Cricetulus griseus: one gene and its partners. The protein of the gene in region 1 purifies or fractionates together with the protein of each later gene. This does not show direct contact. Links are inferred from orthologs where the notes say so. Each region holds a gene or a part of one and is shown in the gene's direction. Other genes may lie near its edges.

Region 1 (4,003 bases):
TCCCAAGTGCTGGGAATATCTTTTTAAAGATAAGGTCTCATGCATCCCAGGCTGGCCTCAAACTTGCTATGTGTCTGGGGATGACTCTGAATTTCTGGTTCTCCTGAGTATTGAGATTACAGGCACATTCCACCACAACTGGTTTATGAAGGGATGGAGATCAATCCTAGGGCTTAATACATACCTGGCATCACTCTACCAACTGAATAGACTCTTCCAAGTTCCAGAGTGGGTTTTCTAAAGAGCAAAAGTACTTGTCCACTTTGCTGGAACTCCCCAGTGACATCCATAGACTCCAGATGAGGTTCTCAGTTGTTTCCCCAGGTCCTAGCCTTCTGTATTGTGCCAGCATATGGTAGTCTCCAGTATTCTCTGTGTTTCCCGGAATGCTTCTGGGGACTCAATGCTCCCTGGTCTCTCAGGATACACAGGATCCTTTAGTTACCACCCAGCTTATGGTCACCAATTGCAGGGTTTTTGTTCTCCTGATCCACAGGAGGAGCTGCAAACATTGGTGGAGACAGTCATCAAGGTAGAGGTGGCCAGCTCTAGAGCTAGGAGTAGGAGACTATACAAGCCAATAGTGATCTCAAGGGCCTGTTGTCTCTGATGGGAGGAATGGGCTGCCTTAAGCTCTTGACCTTGATCCCCTTGGTCAGCCACATTTAGATCTGGGCTCCCACCTGTATGAGGAGGTCCTGTGAATTACAAAAAAAAAGCTGGAATCAGGGCTTATAATAAGCAAAGAATGGGACTCAGATGGATTTAGCAGGGGTCACTTCCAGAAGGATACTCACATGGGTTAAGTGGGAAGTTCTAGAATACATCAAGTGACATACAGCATTTGGAGAGAGCTCATCCTAAGGATCTGGTCACCATGTCAACCACATTCTTTCATAGGAGTCTCCTCTCCCCACAGTCCTAGGGTGTAGGAGCTCCAGACTGCTCTATCACCATGTAGATGTCTTTCTTGGTTGGTCTTGGACTTTGGGGAATTGACCTAGAGGCTGAGTCTCTATTATAACCCCAGCTTGGTGGCCCCTTCTGTCTCTAGAGTATGGGTGAGACAGAAGGGTTCAGCTATCGGTGCACTGCCCCCTCCCTATGCTGCATACCTTGCCCACAGCTGAGCAGCTGGGAGGCTATTTATAAAGACGGGTGAGATCAGCGGCAGAGGCTATAAATGTACTGGCCACAGCTAGGCCCCACAGGAACAGTGGTCCAGTGCAACAGAGCTTTGGGCTGCAACACCAGGATGAGTGCCAATGCTGGTGGTAGTGGTGGTGTGGACTGTGGTGGCAGTAGCAGCAGGTATGACCAGGCTGGGGAGACGGAGGTCCCATACACCTTATGAGCTTACTGCCTGTGTCCTCCCTCTTCACCCACAGCTCTCAGACTTCCTGTGGGCCGGAGTCCTCAGGGTCTGAATTAGCTCCAGCCACACCGGCACCTCCGTTGCTACAGGGGTTCCTGGGCTCTGATGAGGAAGAGCAGGAAGATCCCAAGGACTATTGCAGGGGTAAGGCCTGACCTTGGCTGCATGTGGTCCACCAGATTGACACAGGGGTTCAGGACAGCCTGGGAGGAAGAAGTTGCCCAGAGACTAGGCCTCTCATGGGACAGATGATCAGCAGGACTAGGCTATCTTGAGGGATAGGAGAGAGACGCCCTACTCTGATCTATCGGCTTCCTTCTGCAGGTGGCTACTACCCAGTGAAGATAGGTGATTTGTTCAATGGACGGTACCATGTGGTGCGCAAGCTAGGCTGGGGCCACTTCTCTACAGTCTGGCTCTGCTGGGATATTCAGTGAGTAGCTGGGATCTGCCTGTGGGTTTGGTTGAGGCTACCACCATGACCATGTGAGTCTGGCAAAGACTGGTAGCCTATAAGGGTCTCCATATTACAGGCGCAAGCGCTTCGTGGCCCTGAAAGTAGTGAAGAGCGCAGGGCATTACACAGAGACAGCTGTGGATGAGATCAAGCTCCTGAAATGTGTGAGGCGCCTCCCCTACTGTTCCCAGCTTCTCAAACTGCTTTGGGCCTGGCAATGTGGGTGCAGGGCCTGCTGGGGCCCTGCAGAGTGGGGCGGGGCAGCTCCAGCTGGTTCTGCCAAGTAAGAGGACCTGGAGGGCAGACACCTAAAAGAGGCAGTTGCCTCTCTAAGTGGGCCCCAGCTGGACTGGGAAAGGGGGCAAGAAGTGCTTAAGAGGAGTTGAGCAGCTGGTGAGGAACAGGTTGGAGCCATCTGTGGCTCGTTGCCTTTTTGTTCCAGGTCCGGGACAGTGACCCTAGTGACCCCAAAAGAGAGACCATTGTTCAACTCATTGATGACTTCAGGATCTCAGGAGTTAATGGAGTCCGTATCCTTCAAAGGATGAGCAATATGGCAGTCAAAGGACCCCAGACTTCTGGTCTGCACCATGGGACTCAGCCCTTACAGAGACATCCCATGAAGCAACCCCACAATGCCCTTTGAGCATTTGTGTTTTTGAGTTGGGGTATCACAGTAGGACACTGCTGAATGACCCCCAAAATATAAAAGGCTGCTTTTGAGGCCTTTTGAACAATTGGGCAGACAGAAGAGTAAGGCTGGTCTGAGAGGCATCTCTAAGATGATAAAAGGTACCATCCCAACTGGCATACCTTTGCTGGTGACAGAAACACTATAAACAATAAACTGAGACAGTGATAGCCACCAAGATGGTCCAGAGAAAGTCCTGCTTTCCTGACCTCTGCACCACAGGAGCCTAGGCGCTCCTGTGCTGGAGGGTAGGTAAGCCTGTGCATTAGTTGTGTTGCTGGCTGCCCTTCACTCCAAGTCCAGATGTGTGCATGGTGCTAGAGGTCCTGGGCCACCAGCTCCTCAAGTGGATCATCAAGTCCAACTACCAGGGCCTGCCTGTACCCTGTGTTAAGAGCATTGTTAGGCAGGTAGGTGCTGCCCCAGGCTACACAGCTTGGCTGGGTGTGGCTGCTGGGGTTCAGCTATAGCTTTCACCAGGTGCTACATGGTCTGGATTACCTCCATACTAAGTGCAAGATCATCCATACGGACATCAAGCCTGAGAACATCCTACTGTGTGTTGGAGATGCCTACATCAGGCACCTGGCTGCTGAAGCCACAGAGTGGCAGCAGTCAGGGGCCCAGCCCCCATCCCGCTCCACAGGTACCAAGAGCATGTGTGGGGACTCTTGCCAGGACTCAGGCCACAATCCCTACCTGAATTACTATTCTTTTTCTCTCCCTAACCCCTACCCCGTAGTCAGCACCGCCCCCCAGGAGGTCTTGGTAAGTTGTGGCATCCCTCTTTCCCTGTTTCCTTTTCCCATCCAAGGCAGATGAGCCATATCCTCAGGGCTGGGCTCCTCAGCCACACCTGTTCCACTTTATGAACTTCTGCAGTGGCATCTCTAAATAGTTGGGTACATGAGAAAAGAGTGATTATACAACAGTGGGCTATGTGCTCCAAACTGCTTCTGGTGACCCACTATCACTTCAATGGAAAGATACTGTGCCTTCACCAAATGGCTATTTCAGGCCGCTTCATCTAAGCTAGGAGTGGACAAGGAGCAATTTAGGGCAGGCCCACCACATTCTCCCAAACAACAAAGCTTTAGGGAGTAGGAAGATAGGAGGAAAGGCAGAGAAATGGATGAGGGGCTGGCACTAAGGGTGAGACAAAAGGTAGTACCACCATTTCTCTGACACCCCCATAGGAGTTAGTTCTGGGGTCCAGGGCTAGGCAGAGAAACTAAGGAGGTGACCCTCACTCTGGTGGCAGACTGGTAAGCTATCCAAAAATAAGAGGAAGAAGATGAGGCGTAAAAGAAAGCAACAGAAGCGGCTGCTGGAGGAGCGGCTGCGGGACTTGCAGAGGCTGGAGGCCATGGAAGCGGCAGTACAGGCTGAGGGTGAGGGGCCAGAGAGGGCACTGGGTTACTAAGCATGCAAGTGGAATACAGGTCTCTGCTCAAGGTGCACTTCTGCCCCTTCTCCCCAG
Region 2 (4,250 bases), on another chromosome or scaffold:
GACCAGCCTCTTCCGGCTTCCTTGGGCACTGCAAGCGCGCGCGCGCGCGGCACACAGATGCACGCTAGAGAAGACTTCTAAGGAATAGCTGAAGCCAATACATCTTTGTGTCCACTTGGAGTATCAGGGCAACGGAGTCAGAGGGCCTTCCTTACTCCCTGGGCGGCCGGCCTGGGGAGACTTTCCCTTCTTGGGTGTCAGTTAATTAGTAGGAGTTTCAGTCAGGGAAGGAGAGGATACAAGAATCGGGCAAAAGCATTCCCAAACATTTGTTTACAAACTGGAAACCAAGCGGGGCGGCGGGGCGCACGCCTTTAATCCCAGCCCTCGGGAGGCGGGGGCTTGCGGGTGTCTGTGAGTTCGAGGTCAGCCTGGTGAGCCACGCAGGGAAACCCCGTCTCGGAAGGAAAAAGAAATGCAGAAAGCAAACACGAAAGCTGGTCCAGCTGAACCGTTAGTGACAAGGACAAACCCATCTGCTTTTGCTCCACTTTAGGGGCCCGTCTTCCGAAGGCACGGGGCTGGGAGGGGGTGCACACAGAAACCGAGAGCAGGGGAAGAGGGTCCTCGCTCGGGGCCGTGCACAGCAGCGCGACCCTGCCCGCCCGGCTCGCCCAGTCTGCATACCCGCACCGGCCGCGGAGGGAGGCCCGGCAAGTCACGCCCGATCCGGAGGGGGTCCACACACCTGCGGCCGGCCTCGCCGCGCCACGCTGCTCCCGCACGCACGCACGCACGCACCCCAGCACGCACGCGGCCGCCCGCTCCGCCGCCGGAAGTGGCCCCGGGCCTCCGCCCCGCTCCGGCGAGCTCTGCCGCCCATTGGCCGGCCCGCCTCGGTCCCCGCCCTGCCCGCCGCCCCAGGGCGCGGCCGGAGCTCGCTGCCCAGCCCGGCTCCGCGTCCCCGGGAGCCAGCGCGCGGCTCGCCGAGTCTCCTCAGGGCTGCCACGTAGGGTGTGCGAGCCTGCGCTGCCTCAGAGCGCCCCGCGCGGGGGACGGACGGGGCGGCCTGCCGGGGAGGGGCGAGCCTGCCGGGGCCGGGCTCGGGACGGGGCCCCGCGGGCGCCCTGTTTAGAACGTAGGTCGCGCAGACGCCGCCTCCGCCGCCGCCTGGGCTGAGACCGGGTCCGTGAGGCCGGGCGCAGGCGGTAACGAGGCAGCGTGGGGCTCGCTGCTCCGCACCTCCCGGCGGGGTCCGGGCTCCTCCGCTCCCGTGCACCGTTCCCAGCTCGACCCGACCCGACCGACCGACCCGCGTCCGCTTGGCGCTCGCAGCCGGCGCGTGCGAGCCTTCCCGCCCCCCGCCCCTCAGCCCCGTGTCCCCGCCCTCCGCGGCCCCTGGTCGCGGGCGCTGACTCGTTACGGGAAGGCCCCTGAGGGGTCCCCTTGCGGCCGGGGTCCGGCGCGCTCGCCCCGGGAGCCACGGCTCCTGTAATGGCGCCTGCGTCAGGCACTAACATGGCGGACTAGCTGGTGCGCGGCGCAAACGTCAGCACCTCTCCCCCGGGCGGCTCGGAGACAGCGCAGGAGAGCGCGGCGCCGCTCGCTGATTGGCTCGTGGGCGGAGCGTGCCCCGCCGGACGCGCCCCCGCCGGCCAATCCGGAGCCGGGTAAAAGGAATTGGCCGCTGCGCCTCCTCCCGAGGCATGCTGGGAGCCTGGAGGACTAGCGAGGAGGAGTTGAGAGAACGGAGCGGACGCCATGGCGGCCGACATCGAGCAGGTTTTTAGGTCTTTCGTGGTCAGTAAATTCCGGGAAATACAACAGGAGCTTTCCAGGTAAGCCGTCCCCCGGACTCGGCGGCCCCGCGCGGCCCGCCGGGGCGCCCCGTCCGCCCTCCCGGGGCGTCTTTGACGGCGACGCCGTCGTCTGTCGGCTCGGGCCCCGCTCCGGCCCCGCCTGGGCCCGGGCTCCATTTTCCGGGCCATCCCCGATCCGCGCCGCTCCTCCCGGGGGGGGCGGCGGCGGCCGGGCCGCGGTCCGCACTCGCCGGCCTCCCCGCGGGCTCGAGGCGCGCCCCGGCCGGGTTTGGGCGGCCGGCGGGCGGGCGGGCGGAGGAGGGAGGAGGCCCGGCGTCCGCCAGGCCCGGCCTGGTCCCCGGCGGCCCCTCCTCCGCCGCCGCCTCTCCCCTCCCCCTCCCCGCCTCCGCGCAGCTCGCCCGCCGCCGTCCACGCCGGAAAGGGGCTCCAACGGCCGCCCCCGGGGCCCTGGGGAAACTTGTTCACCGCTGTCCGCTCGGGATCGCTCGGCGGCCGGCGGCCGTCCGGCCGTGCGGTTCACCGGACGAGCGCTCCCCCTTTTAACAAGCAGCGGTGAAGTGAGACGTCTCTCCTCAACAGCGGACACGCGATAAAAAGACTCGGCAGAGGCGGGCCGGGGGCTTCGGAACTGGTGGATGCTCAAGCTTGTGAAGCAGGAAGTGCACTGTGGGTGGAGAGCTGTTATTTTTCTTGCTGCCCTGACTTAATGGGCAGATTTCAAGAACGTCGCCGCGCTGGGTTTTTTTTTTTTTTTTTTTTGGTTTTATTTTTTATTTTTTTTATTTTTTTTGTCACTGCAAGTAGACTTCAGAGATGACCCTTGGTTCCCAAAATTTCAAGTGGAAGAAATTTCCGAAGTTGTTTACTCCGGAAAATAGTGGGGATTATATTCAATGGTTTTCTTCTAGTAGTAATATTGTGTATCACATGACCGCTTCTTTAAAATACTCTTCAAGAAAGAGTTCTTGAAAAGTAAATATTCTGAGTTAAGAAACGTTCTTTACGAATGGTGTAAGTTGAGAGCAGTAATATGTGAATTAGAAAATCAACTGATAAGCGGTTGTAAATTATGTGCCCAAATTAGCTAGGGTTATTCGTGCAATAATATTTTATTGCTGCGATTTTGTTTTTTTTTTTTTCAAAATGTAATTTTTTGTTGTTGTTGTTTTGGTTCTTTCATTTTTCTTTATTGAGGACAGGCTCTACGAATGTCACTGCTTACAGCCTTGTCGTGTAGCCACACCTCCTAGTGATGGGTGGGATCACAGGCCTGAGCTACTACAACATTCCCCCCTATTTCGTTTTGTTTTTTTGAGATAGGGTTTCTCCGTATACATTGCTGTCCTGGAACTCACTCTGTAGACCAGGCTGGCCTTGGCTCAGAGAGTCACATGCCTCTACCTCCTTAGTGCTGGCATTAAAGATGTGTGCCACCACTGCATGGCTATTTTTTTTTAAGTAGCAATATATATATATATGTATCCATATCCATGTCCCTAATTGTAGCTTTTGAGCCTGTCCTGGAACTAGCTCTTGTAGACCAGGGTGATCTGGAACTCACAGTCATCCGCCTGCCTCTGCCTCCCAAGTGCTGGGATTAAAGGCGTGCACCACCAACTCCCAGCGTTTCGTGTTTTTTTTTTTTTTTTTGTGTTTTTTGTGTTTTTTGTGTTTTTATTGGGGTTTATCATGGGTAGGAACTGTCACCTTAAGGTATGCCCCTCCCACAAAGCATGTCCATTCTAATCCTCCTGGGATGCTTTCTGGGATTTTTTCTTTGTATTCTTTGTACAGCCAGCAACAGCTTCAGGTTCCTCAGAAAATTTCCTTTTCTTCCTTGGGGACCGGCGTTTCTTTTTTTTAAAAAAACAAAACATTTTGAGGCATTGGCAGAGAATTTTCCTAGAAACCTTTTTGTTGATTTGAGGCAGGGTCTCACTATGTAGCTCTGGCTGATCTAGAACTTGCTATGTAGATCAGGCTGGCTTTGAATGCTTAGAGATCTTGTCTTTTTTGGGACTAAAGTCCTGTGCTACCACAACCACCATTTTGAACGTTTAAGTAGTTTACTGCACTAAATGTGTTTACTTGTTTTTATAAGCCTTGCTTTTATAGCCCTTTTTTTGGGGTGTGGGGGGGTGTCTTTTGTGACATGGTTTCTCTGTAGCCCTGGCTCGTGGCTGTGCTGGAACTCATTATGTAGAACAGGCTGGCCTCAAAATCACAGAGATTGACCTGCCTCTGCCTCCCAAGCACTGGGATTAAAGGTGTGTGACACCTTCTCTTAATGTGATCATTTTGTATTGTGTGTTTTAGACATATACTGTGTAGTTTGAATTCTTAATAATTTGAATATTTTTCATAACTATAAATTCCTTTTCAGGGCACATTGTTGGATAGCAAAGTGGCTTTAAATTCTAATTGCTTTTCAGTGATTGTAATTACATCCTGGTAGCATTAGGAAGAAATTATTGGCCGGGCAGTGATGGC
Region 3 (4,068 bases), on another chromosome or scaffold:
CCTGTCAGAGCCCCCAAGAACAGGCCAGTACAGATAGATGCTTGAATACTAACAGTAATAATTCATTAATGATTACATATATGTATTGTGGTCTTTTATATTTGCATGTGAAGGGATAAAAAAGTAGGGGAAGCGTCATGAATATCATTGGCTGGACTAATGTAAACAAAAACAGGGGTCAGGTTTTAAGGAAGATTATTTGTGACTTGGGTTAAAATTGTCAGTGTCTCCACCATACAAGGATTCTTGAAACTGTTACTCAAAAAAAAAAAAAAAAAAAAAAAAAAAGGTTCTGGTGAGGACAAACTCACTGCAGGACAATACAAGAAAAACACTGTTTAAAGTAACTCTTTTATGAAGTCACAGTGAAAAAATACTTTTTAAAATTATTTAAAATTAGTGTTAATATGCAAGTCATTTTGACTACATGTGTCAGGTTAGTCTATAATTAAGAATTAAGCAGTGCAAATTGACATTTATAAAACTACATGTATATCCAGTTGTCAAGAAAGACCTTCCTAATCGTTGAGACTGCATGGTTCTGTGTAGCACAGCCTTTCACATATGTGACAGGATGGGAAGGTTTTTTTTTTCCCCCTTTCTTTTTACCTGGAATGAATTTTTGCCATTTCTGATCCACATTGTACTTCACACAGTGATTTCCTGAAGGAAATATAATGATCTGTTCATCGAAGAAGAAGACATTGTTGGCCACGTACGACCGAAGACCAAAAACATGCAGCGCCTGAGCTACGACGGTGGACATGGTACCTGTCAGAAAGTGCTGCTGAAGATAAAGCAGCGGCTGGTGAGAAAGAACTGCATCTCCCGCCCCCGCCCATGGCCCCGCCCCGCCCATGGCCCCGCCCCGCCCAGTCCTGGATCCGCTTTTGGCCCGCCCCTCCCTAACCACAACTCACCCCTTCATTGCCCCCCCCCCAGACTCCTCTCCTCGTCGCCCCTCCCCCAGGCTCCTCCTCTTGTCCCCCCTCCCCCCGCCCACAGCTCCTTCCGCGCTTTGCCTTTCTCTCTTGTTCCCTCAACGACCCCAGGCTCTTCAGAGGACCTCAGAGAAACCTCTCACCTCTTGCTTCACGACCCTGGGTTACGAAACCAAGCGGGGATCCGCAGGTACTCCTCCTAAATATCCCGAGCAACCTAAGCACGCCCAAACACCGGAGCGGTTCCTATAGCAACGAGAAACCGGAAGTGCGGCTCTGCACCCGGAAGCGGAAGTCCGGATCGAAAAGCCAGAGGCTTGTGGAGAAGCTGCCGGCGCGGGTTCGTCTTCAGGGCACGTGGAGTGGCTGTCGCGCCCCGCGGGGCGGGAGATCGCGAGATGGACACCCCTCCGCTCTCAGACTCGGACGCGGAGTCGGAAGAGTCCCTGGTCTCAGACCGGGAGGTAGGCGGCTGCGGGGCTCGCGGGACAGGGCGTGGAACGGGAACTCCAGCTCTCTGGTACTGACGCCCCCGGGTCTGTAGTTGCAGGATGCATTTTCCCGAGGACTCCTGAAGCCAGGCCTCAACGTTGTGCTAGAGAGGCCGAAGAAGGCGGTGAATGACGTGGTGAGCTCGCTCGCGGGTTGGGGTCCTTGGAATGGGGTGTGCATAGGCGCCCTGCTACTTGGGAGACCTACTGTTGCGAGAAAAATGCCCCCTGTGCCTTGAGCTGTACTGGTATTTGAGCTTAGCACTTTGGGCTTGAGAGAGATAAACTCTGGGTTCTCATGAGCACCGTGTCTGACTTACCTAGAATGGCCTGAAACAGTGTTTGGCTGAATTCAGACGGGATCTGGAGTGGGTTGAAAGGCTCGATGTGACCCTGGGTCCAGTGCCAGAAGTCAGTGAAACTCAGCCAACCCCCCAGAACAAGGACCAGAAGAAAGGTGTTAATCCAGAAGACGACTTCCAGAGGGAAATGAGTTTGTATGTTTTGTTATGAGTCCTGTGATAGAGAATCATGGGAAGGGGAGTATAGTATGCCTGCCCCCCTCAGAGACACCGAGGAGTTAGCGCGAACCTTGGGTGCCTCCTGCTTGAAAGAATAGCTCCTTGGTCATCATTTAACCTGTGCCCTGCCTAAGGGCTATTTAAAGTTTGTGTGGGTGCATCCAGTCAGAGCAGACTGCCTAGGGAAGGCTTCGAGGGGACTTTGTAATGATTGGGAAAGAGGTCATACTTTGTATGTTAATGGTACCTTTAATAAGCTTATTGTTTTAAGCTGTTGATTTATTCTTAGAAGTATTTTCCCCTTAAAAATAAGTGTAAAATGAGATTTCTGTTATATGAAATTAGTGGAGTTTTATTGCAGTTTTTGTTTTGTCTTGCTAGTGCCAGAGGGATATTGATAGTCCTGAGTCTAGTTAAGTCCTGAGAGGCAGTAAGAAATGAAGGCCTTTCTTCACCCCTCATTTAACTCCGTCCTGAAATTTCAGCTACCGCCAGGCCCAGGCTGCAGTGCTTGCAGTATTACCCCGGCTCCATCAGCTCCAAGTCCCCACCAAGCGACCCACAGATTATTTTGCAGAAATGGCCAAGTCTGACCAGCAGATGCAAAAGGTAAGAGACAGGCAAGTTTTTTCTCTGGAAAGCCAGGGCTTCACCCTGAAGTATTCAGCTGGTGGTTTTTAAAAAGGATTTATGTTGGCTGTAATCAGTATTTTTTTTTTTTTTTGGTAATTTATTTTACTTTATTTTTTTATGTGTAGTGGTGTGAGGGTGTCAAGATATCCTGTAATTGGGTTTACAAACAGTTGTGAGCTGCCATGTAGAGGCTGGGAATTGAATGTAGGGCCTCTGGAAGAATAGCCAGTGCTCTTAACCACTGACCCATCTCTCTAGCCCCTGTAATCAGTATTTCTAATGGAGAGTCTCTGCTTCAGAGGCACGCCAGTCACTTGGTAAAACGGAGAGAAGAGCTGGAAGAGGTGTGGTCCCTGTGATAAAGAAGGCTTGTATTCCCTTCTTGGCAGGGTTAGTGGCATGGTGTATAGACACAACAGTTTTGTAGTTCTGGGCCCAACGAGAATACTATTGCTTATAGAAAGGTTTTTCTTCTCTGGGCCTCTGTTTTCTAGAAAGTGAGGGGTTGATAGATGGCTCAGATACAGTGTAATTTAGGGTTGGGGGACTTGATCCTCATTTAACTTTGGGAGGAAAAAAACTTCTTGACTCGGAATCCAGGATGTATTTAAATTGTTCCCTTGGCTTCAGTCTTCATCTTAGAGAATTCTAGGTGGTACCCCAAGAAACTAACCTGGAGATAAGCCCAGATTAACCTGACAGTAACACTGATGACTACTTATGCTTTCAGTAAAATGTTTGTGTTTGATGGGAGAGGCAAGGGATCAGTGTGCAGTGACCCCTTAAAGAGGGCACTGAAGTTTAGCCTTGATCTGTAAATGGGCTTGGGAGAAAACAGGTCTTGTGTGACAAACAGGCAGCTTTATATAAGAGAACAAGCGTGCTTGAGGAGGCAGGGCTGCTTTTAAGATCTGCACACTGACAGTTGGTTCCTGGATAAAGGGCTCAGCTTTGGGGCCGCATTGTCTGTATGTGGAAAACTAGGAAAGTACACAAGATCCATGGCTTTCAGAGCTAATGGAATCCTGGTGCCCTGGTCTAGTGTACTCTGTATAATACCTGACAACATCCTGTGTTTTAGATTCGACAGAAGCTGCAGACTAAACAGGCTGCCATGGAGAAATCTGAAAAGGCCAAGCAACTTCGAGCGCTTAGGAAGTATGGAAAGAAGGTAAGAAAGAACACCTGCATGGAATAGGACAAGGCCAGGAATGTCAGGTCTGATTGCTGTGGTGTGATTTGGTTCTTGCCCGGTGTGTGTGTGTTTGGTCCTGTGAGTCTTACTGGTGAAGTGTGTCCACCATAATCCCTGAGTGCAGGTTCACTTGACACCATGGGGCACCATGGTGCACCCAGTATATCAGCAGGTAGCAGCAGGAGTCGTGTTTTGAGATGCATGACTGACCTTGTGTCTGTCTCACAGGTGCAGACTGAGGTCCTTCAGAAGAGGCAACGGGAGAAAGCACATATGATGAATGCCAT
Region 4 (4,284 bases), on another chromosome or scaffold:
TGCAGGCAAAACACCCATACACGTAAAATAAAATGGTAGTCTTAAAAAGCAAGCAAACAAACAAACCGTAACTAAATACTACTCAAATAATAAATACTAAATCAAAGGAATGGGCACTTAGGGCAGGAGATTATTAATATGCTTTACACTGCTTATTAATTCCTAACTACAAAAAGGGGCTGAAGAGATTACTCAGCAGTTTAGAGGGCTTACAGCTTTTGCAGAGGGCCTGGGTTTAGTTCTCAGTATCCATGGTAGCTCATAACCACCTGTAACTCAAGTTCCAGGGGAATCCATTGCCCTCTTCTGGCCTCCACAGGCACCTGCACACATATGGTGCATATAAACTTACACAAGCATTGTATGCACACATACACATAATAAATTAAAAAAAAAAAAACAACAACAAAACCCCACAAGGGAACAACACAGGAAAAGGACTCTTCACTGTCCTCCCAGTGGAATAAGGACTTGCAATTTCTGCGTCTATCACTTCTCATCTTCGACTAGCTCCCTCTGGTGTCGGTACTCACCTGGAGTTCTTCAATCTTAGACAGATAATATTGGCGGAGTCCACTGCCTGCCTTCCCCTCTTCCAGTTCCATCTGAAGACAAGTGTAACTGTTAAACAAGTGCCTAAACTACTAAGGGATTAAGCCAAACTGTTCCCAGGGCACGTCGCCATATGGCTTAAGAAACAGGGCCAGAAAAATCCCATCCCCTTTCCTCAGATCTCGATGGGTGAGGTCTGTGTGTTTAAACTTCGGAGGCTTAGTTTAGTTCTTGGTTCTAACCCTTCCCTTTTGAATCCACTAAAAAAGGATGCAATTACCACCCAACTTCGAAGACTTTCAGGAGGCTCAGGGGGCCATGAATACACGGAGCACTTTTCTCTATGGCAAGAGCTATACAAAACCCAAGGTTTAACTTCTACAAAGTCAAAGCGGAGGACCCGAGTCCAGGTCCAACCGCAGGCCCTTCCTGCTCGCCTAGCTCCCAGCTCCTTCTACCCAGCCCTGTCCTGCTCAACCCGGGCGGCGCTGACACAGCAGATCCAGTGCCAGGCAGGGTCGTCTGGCGTGGTCCACCCATCCTTCACCCACTCGACCCCTCGCTCTCGGCCACCTCTCACTTCCGATTACAAGCACCCGGCACTCAGCTCGGGTGGCCGCCCCGCCCCGCCCCGCGCGCCGCCGCCGCCGCCGGCCGCCTTACCTGCTCCGGCCCATCAAGCGCCATCTTCCCTCTTTCGGCAGAGACCGCCGGCATCCAAGTCGCCCTACCGCGCAGGCGCGGAGGCGGAAGCCTGCGGCCTGGGACCCGGCAGAGAACACTTCCGGGTCAATGGGCGGGGTGTGTGGCGAGACCATAACACAGGCTCTAATGGGAGAGGAGCTGCTGGACGTCAGTAGCTTTCGGAGGGAGCGAAGAGACACAGGCCTTCTGGCTGTTGTTTCTTAGAGGCTAGGATAGTAGCAATTGTGCGCGGCCTTCTTAGGCTTCTCGTTTGACTTGTAAGACCAGCGGACACAAAATTTTTGGCCACACTCAAAATGGCGGAAAACAAAGCCAGGAATGCAAAAAAGAAAACCGCGAGCGGAAGCGGAAGTACGATTGCTGCCTACATGTGCTACTTCCGGTGTTGAAAGCCCTGTGGAGTTCAGGGCTGTCTCGGTGCCCGGTGAGTGAGATCTTCGCCCACTGAGAAACCGAAGCAGAACCCAGTTTTCGGGAAGATGCTCTCAACTTTCCCTTTCTCCCCAGAGTGAGTGATCTCACCCCTCGCACCATGGGCAAGAAAGGCAAAGTCGGCAAGAGCCGGCGGGACAAGTTCTATCACTTGGCCAAGGAGACCGGTGAGTCGGCCCACTTTTTCTGACTGACTGCTTTTCCTTAGAGGGGCCGATGGGTGTGAGGCCGTGAAGTCCTGATAGGAAAGGCTTCCGTAGGCGTTATTGTTTTCTACACTAACTCTCTACGGCCCAGGTTATCGTTCGCGCTCCGCCTTCAAACTGATCCAGCTCAATCGCCGCTTTCAGTTCCTGCAAAAAGCCCGGGCCTTGCTGGACCTGTGTGCTGCGCCCGGAGGATGGTAACATTTGGCAGGGGCTGCTCTTGGTGGCACCTTCCTGGCCCTGATTGGTTTTGAGTTGCTTTGGGGGTGGTAATCGGATCTCTACCCAAATCCGTTACAGCAATTAGGTGATTGAGATTAAATATATTATAGTACGTTCCTTTCTGAAACTTTGGAAGACAGTTTTCCTGAACTGTGGCTGAACCCAAGGGCTTCCTCATGTTAGACAGGCGCACTACCTCTGAGTTATACCCCAATCTGCTTTATTATTTCTTGAGACAGGGAGAATTTAAAAGTTGTCTAGTATGGCCTTAAACTTTTGAACTTACTGCCTTGCCCTTTGAGCTGGGAATGCAGGCCTGTGCTGGAATTCAAGCAGTTTGCTTCATGATTGTAGAGAATGTGTGCATAAAGACATTTGGCCACTACATGTAATAGGTATCCCTAAAAGGGGTGAATCATCACATTGCCAAAGAAGGGGGAGGTGTTTTAATTTATCCTTTCTACAGGTTGCAGGTGGCTGCCAAGTTTATGCCTGTATCCAGTCTTATTGTGGGTGAGTGACTCTCCTGGGTGTTAGAGGGAGAGGGTGTTTGCAGTACTAACTTTGTTCTACCTCTTCCTCCACCCAATAATACACTGACCTAACTTCTTCCAGGAGTGGACCTGGTTCCAATCAAGCCTCTTCCCAATGTTGTGACTCTCCAGGAAGATATCACAACAGAGCGATGTAGGCAGGTAATAAGAATTTCTCCTTCCTGCCCTGTTATGTGCTGACATCATTGCCTTGTAAGGGTGAAACACTTCCCAATTTCCCATGGTTTTTAAGCACATGCTCCCAAAAGACCCATGACAATCTTAGTGTGCATTTCCAGCTTTACTTAGAATCAAGGTTTTCTTTTTTCCTTGAGACAGGGTCTTGCTGTGTACTTCAGGCTAGCTTATATACATATGTAGCGAAGACTGACACAGAACAAGGTTGGCCTTGATCTTGCAGCCTCTGCCTACTGAGCACTGGGATTACAGGCATGTGCTACCATGGCCTGGTAGAAATAGTGCTGTGAATTGGTAGCAGGACAAGAGATCTTCAGTAAAGCGCTTTCCCAGTGAACTTATTCTAAGCTTGGTGAAGACAGAAATGTTGTTTATTGTTGCATTCCCAGTACTTGGTACAGGATGCTGCCAATGGTGGGCACTAAGTAAACAACCAGACAACACTGAACTAGGAATTCTTTTCTTAGCCCTTTTGTTTCTGTTGCTCTAAACCCTTTACTTTTCACAGGCCCTGAGGAAGGAGCTGAAGACATGGAAGGTTGATGTTGTACTCAATGATGGGGCTCCTAATGTTGGGGCTAGTTGGGTCCATGATGCTTACTCACAAGGTAAAGGAATGTGGGGCTTGGAGGTGAGGGTGGAGGTGTCACGCCCTGAGGCTGCAGATTCTTACTGTCTCTGTCCTACAGCTAACTTGACACTGATGGCGCTGCGTTTGGCTTGTGATTTTTTGGCCCGTGGTGGTTGTTTCATCACAAAAGTTTTCCGTTCCCGTGACTATCAGCCCCTGCTATGGATCTTCCAGCAGCTGTTCCACCGTGTCCAGGCCACGAAGCCCCAGGCCTCTCGCCATGAATCTGCAGAAATTTTTGTAGTCTGCCAAGGTAGGACATCACTACTTCTTTCTCTTGACACAGCTTTCTAGTTATGAAGGCATACCTTTGATCTATCTTACCATTTTTAGGGTTTCTGGCTCCTGACAAGGTTGACAGTAAATTCTTCGATCCTAAGTTTGCCTTTAAGGAGGTTGAAGTTCAGGCTAAAACTGTTACCGAGTTGGTGACAAAGAAGAAGCCAAAGGTGCTTTTTTGTTTTGAGAAATGGGTCCTGAAACTGGGAATGCTTGACATCCAAAAAGGGACTGTCTAACCAGCCATCTTGATTCCTCTTCCTAAGGCTGAAGGCTATGCTGAGGGTGACCTCACTCTTTATCACCGAACCTCAGTCACTGACTTCTTGCGAGCTGCCAATCCTGTTGACTTTCTTTCCAAGGCCAGCGAAGTGAGTTCACAGATTGAAGGTATAAGGGAGCCCCAGAAACATGTCCAGAAAGAAATTTCATTCCTTTCCCCCACAAATAGATTTCAATAGATGATGAAGAGTTAGCACAGCATCCAGCTACAACTGAGGATATAAGAGCATGCTGTCAGGACATC

Evidence for each region. Proteins that work in one complex are often made in the same cells at the same time.
Region 2: the proteins of Srpk3 (region 1) and Son purify together in Homo sapiens (affinity purification with mass spectrometry; 3 studies listed by BioGRID and IntAct, with this or other methods). This does not show direct contact. The link is inferred for Cricetulus griseus from reciprocal best matches to the Homo sapiens genes SRPK3 and SON.
Region 3: the proteins of Srpk3 (region 1) and Ebna1bp2 purify together in Homo sapiens (affinity purification with mass spectrometry; 3 studies listed by BioGRID and IntAct, with this or other methods). This does not show direct contact. The link is inferred for Cricetulus griseus from reciprocal best matches to the Homo sapiens genes SRPK3 and EBNA1BP2.
Region 4: the proteins of Srpk3 (region 1) and Ftsj3 purify together in Homo sapiens (affinity purification with mass spectrometry; 3 studies listed by BioGRID and IntAct, with this or other methods). This does not show direct contact. The link is inferred for Cricetulus griseus from reciprocal best matches to the Homo sapiens genes SRPK3 and FTSJ3.

Annotation. Positions count from the first base shown.
Region 1 is NC_048604.1:1,965,131-1,969,133, reverse strand, and holds the start of Srpk3 (SRSF protein kinase 3), read left to right. Parts: upstream 1-1,203; 5' UTR 1,204-1,255; coding exon 1,256-1,311; intron 1,312-1,388; coding exon 1,389-1,519; intron 1,520-1,699; coding exon 1,700-1,808; intron 1,809-1,908; coding exon 1,909-1,996; intron 1,997-2,274; coding exon 2,275-2,362; intron 2,363-2,826; coding exon 2,827-2,933; intron 2,934-3,003; coding exon 3,004-3,169; intron 3,170-3,265; coding exon 3,266-3,291; intron 3,292-3,784; coding exon 3,785-3,914; intron 3,915-4,003. UniProt on the Homo sapiens protein: Serine/arginine-rich protein-specific kinase which specifically phosphorylates its substrates at serine residues located in regions rich in arginine/serine dipeptides, known as RS domains.
Region 2 is NC_048597.1:6,128,890-6,133,139, reverse strand, and holds the start of Son (protein SON), read left to right. Parts: upstream 1-1,450; 5' UTR 1,451-1,701; coding exon 1,702-1,778; intron 1,779-4,250. UniProt on the Homo sapiens protein: RNA-binding protein that acts as a mRNA splicing cofactor by promoting efficient splicing of transcripts that possess weak splice sites.
Region 3 is NC_048595.1:33,706,566-33,710,633, reverse strand, and holds the start of Ebna1bp2 (probable rRNA-processing protein EBP2), read left to right. Parts: upstream 1-1,268; 5' UTR 1,269-1,339; coding exon 1,340-1,405; intron 1,406-1,485; coding exon 1,486-1,569; intron 1,570-1,756; coding exon 1,757-1,929; intron 1,930-2,438; coding exon 2,439-2,562; intron 2,563-3,667; coding exon 3,668-3,757; intron 3,758-4,009; coding exon 4,010-4,068. Other genes in the region: Cfap57 (cilia- and flagella-associated protein 57), read right to left, coding at 610-766. UniProt on the Homo sapiens protein: Required for the processing of the 27S pre-rRNA.
Region 4 is NC_048600.1:119,201,763-119,206,046, reverse strand, and holds the start of Ftsj3 (pre-rRNA 2'-O-ribose RNA methyltransferase FTSJ3), read left to right. Parts: upstream 1-1,484; 5' UTR 1,485-1,681; intron 1,682-1,764; 5' UTR 1,765-1,789; coding exon 1,790-1,856; intron 1,857-1,986; coding exon 1,987-2,092; intron 2,093-2,583; coding exon 2,584-2,630; intron 2,631-2,732; coding exon 2,733-2,812; intron 2,813-3,356; coding exon 3,357-3,456; intron 3,457-3,537; coding exon 3,538-3,732; intron 3,733-3,812; coding exon 3,813-3,928; intron 3,929-4,024; coding exon 4,025-4,129; intron 4,130-4,209; coding exon 4,210-4,284. Other genes in the region: Psmc5 (26S proteasome regulatory subunit 8), read right to left, coding at 534-605, 1,216-1,269.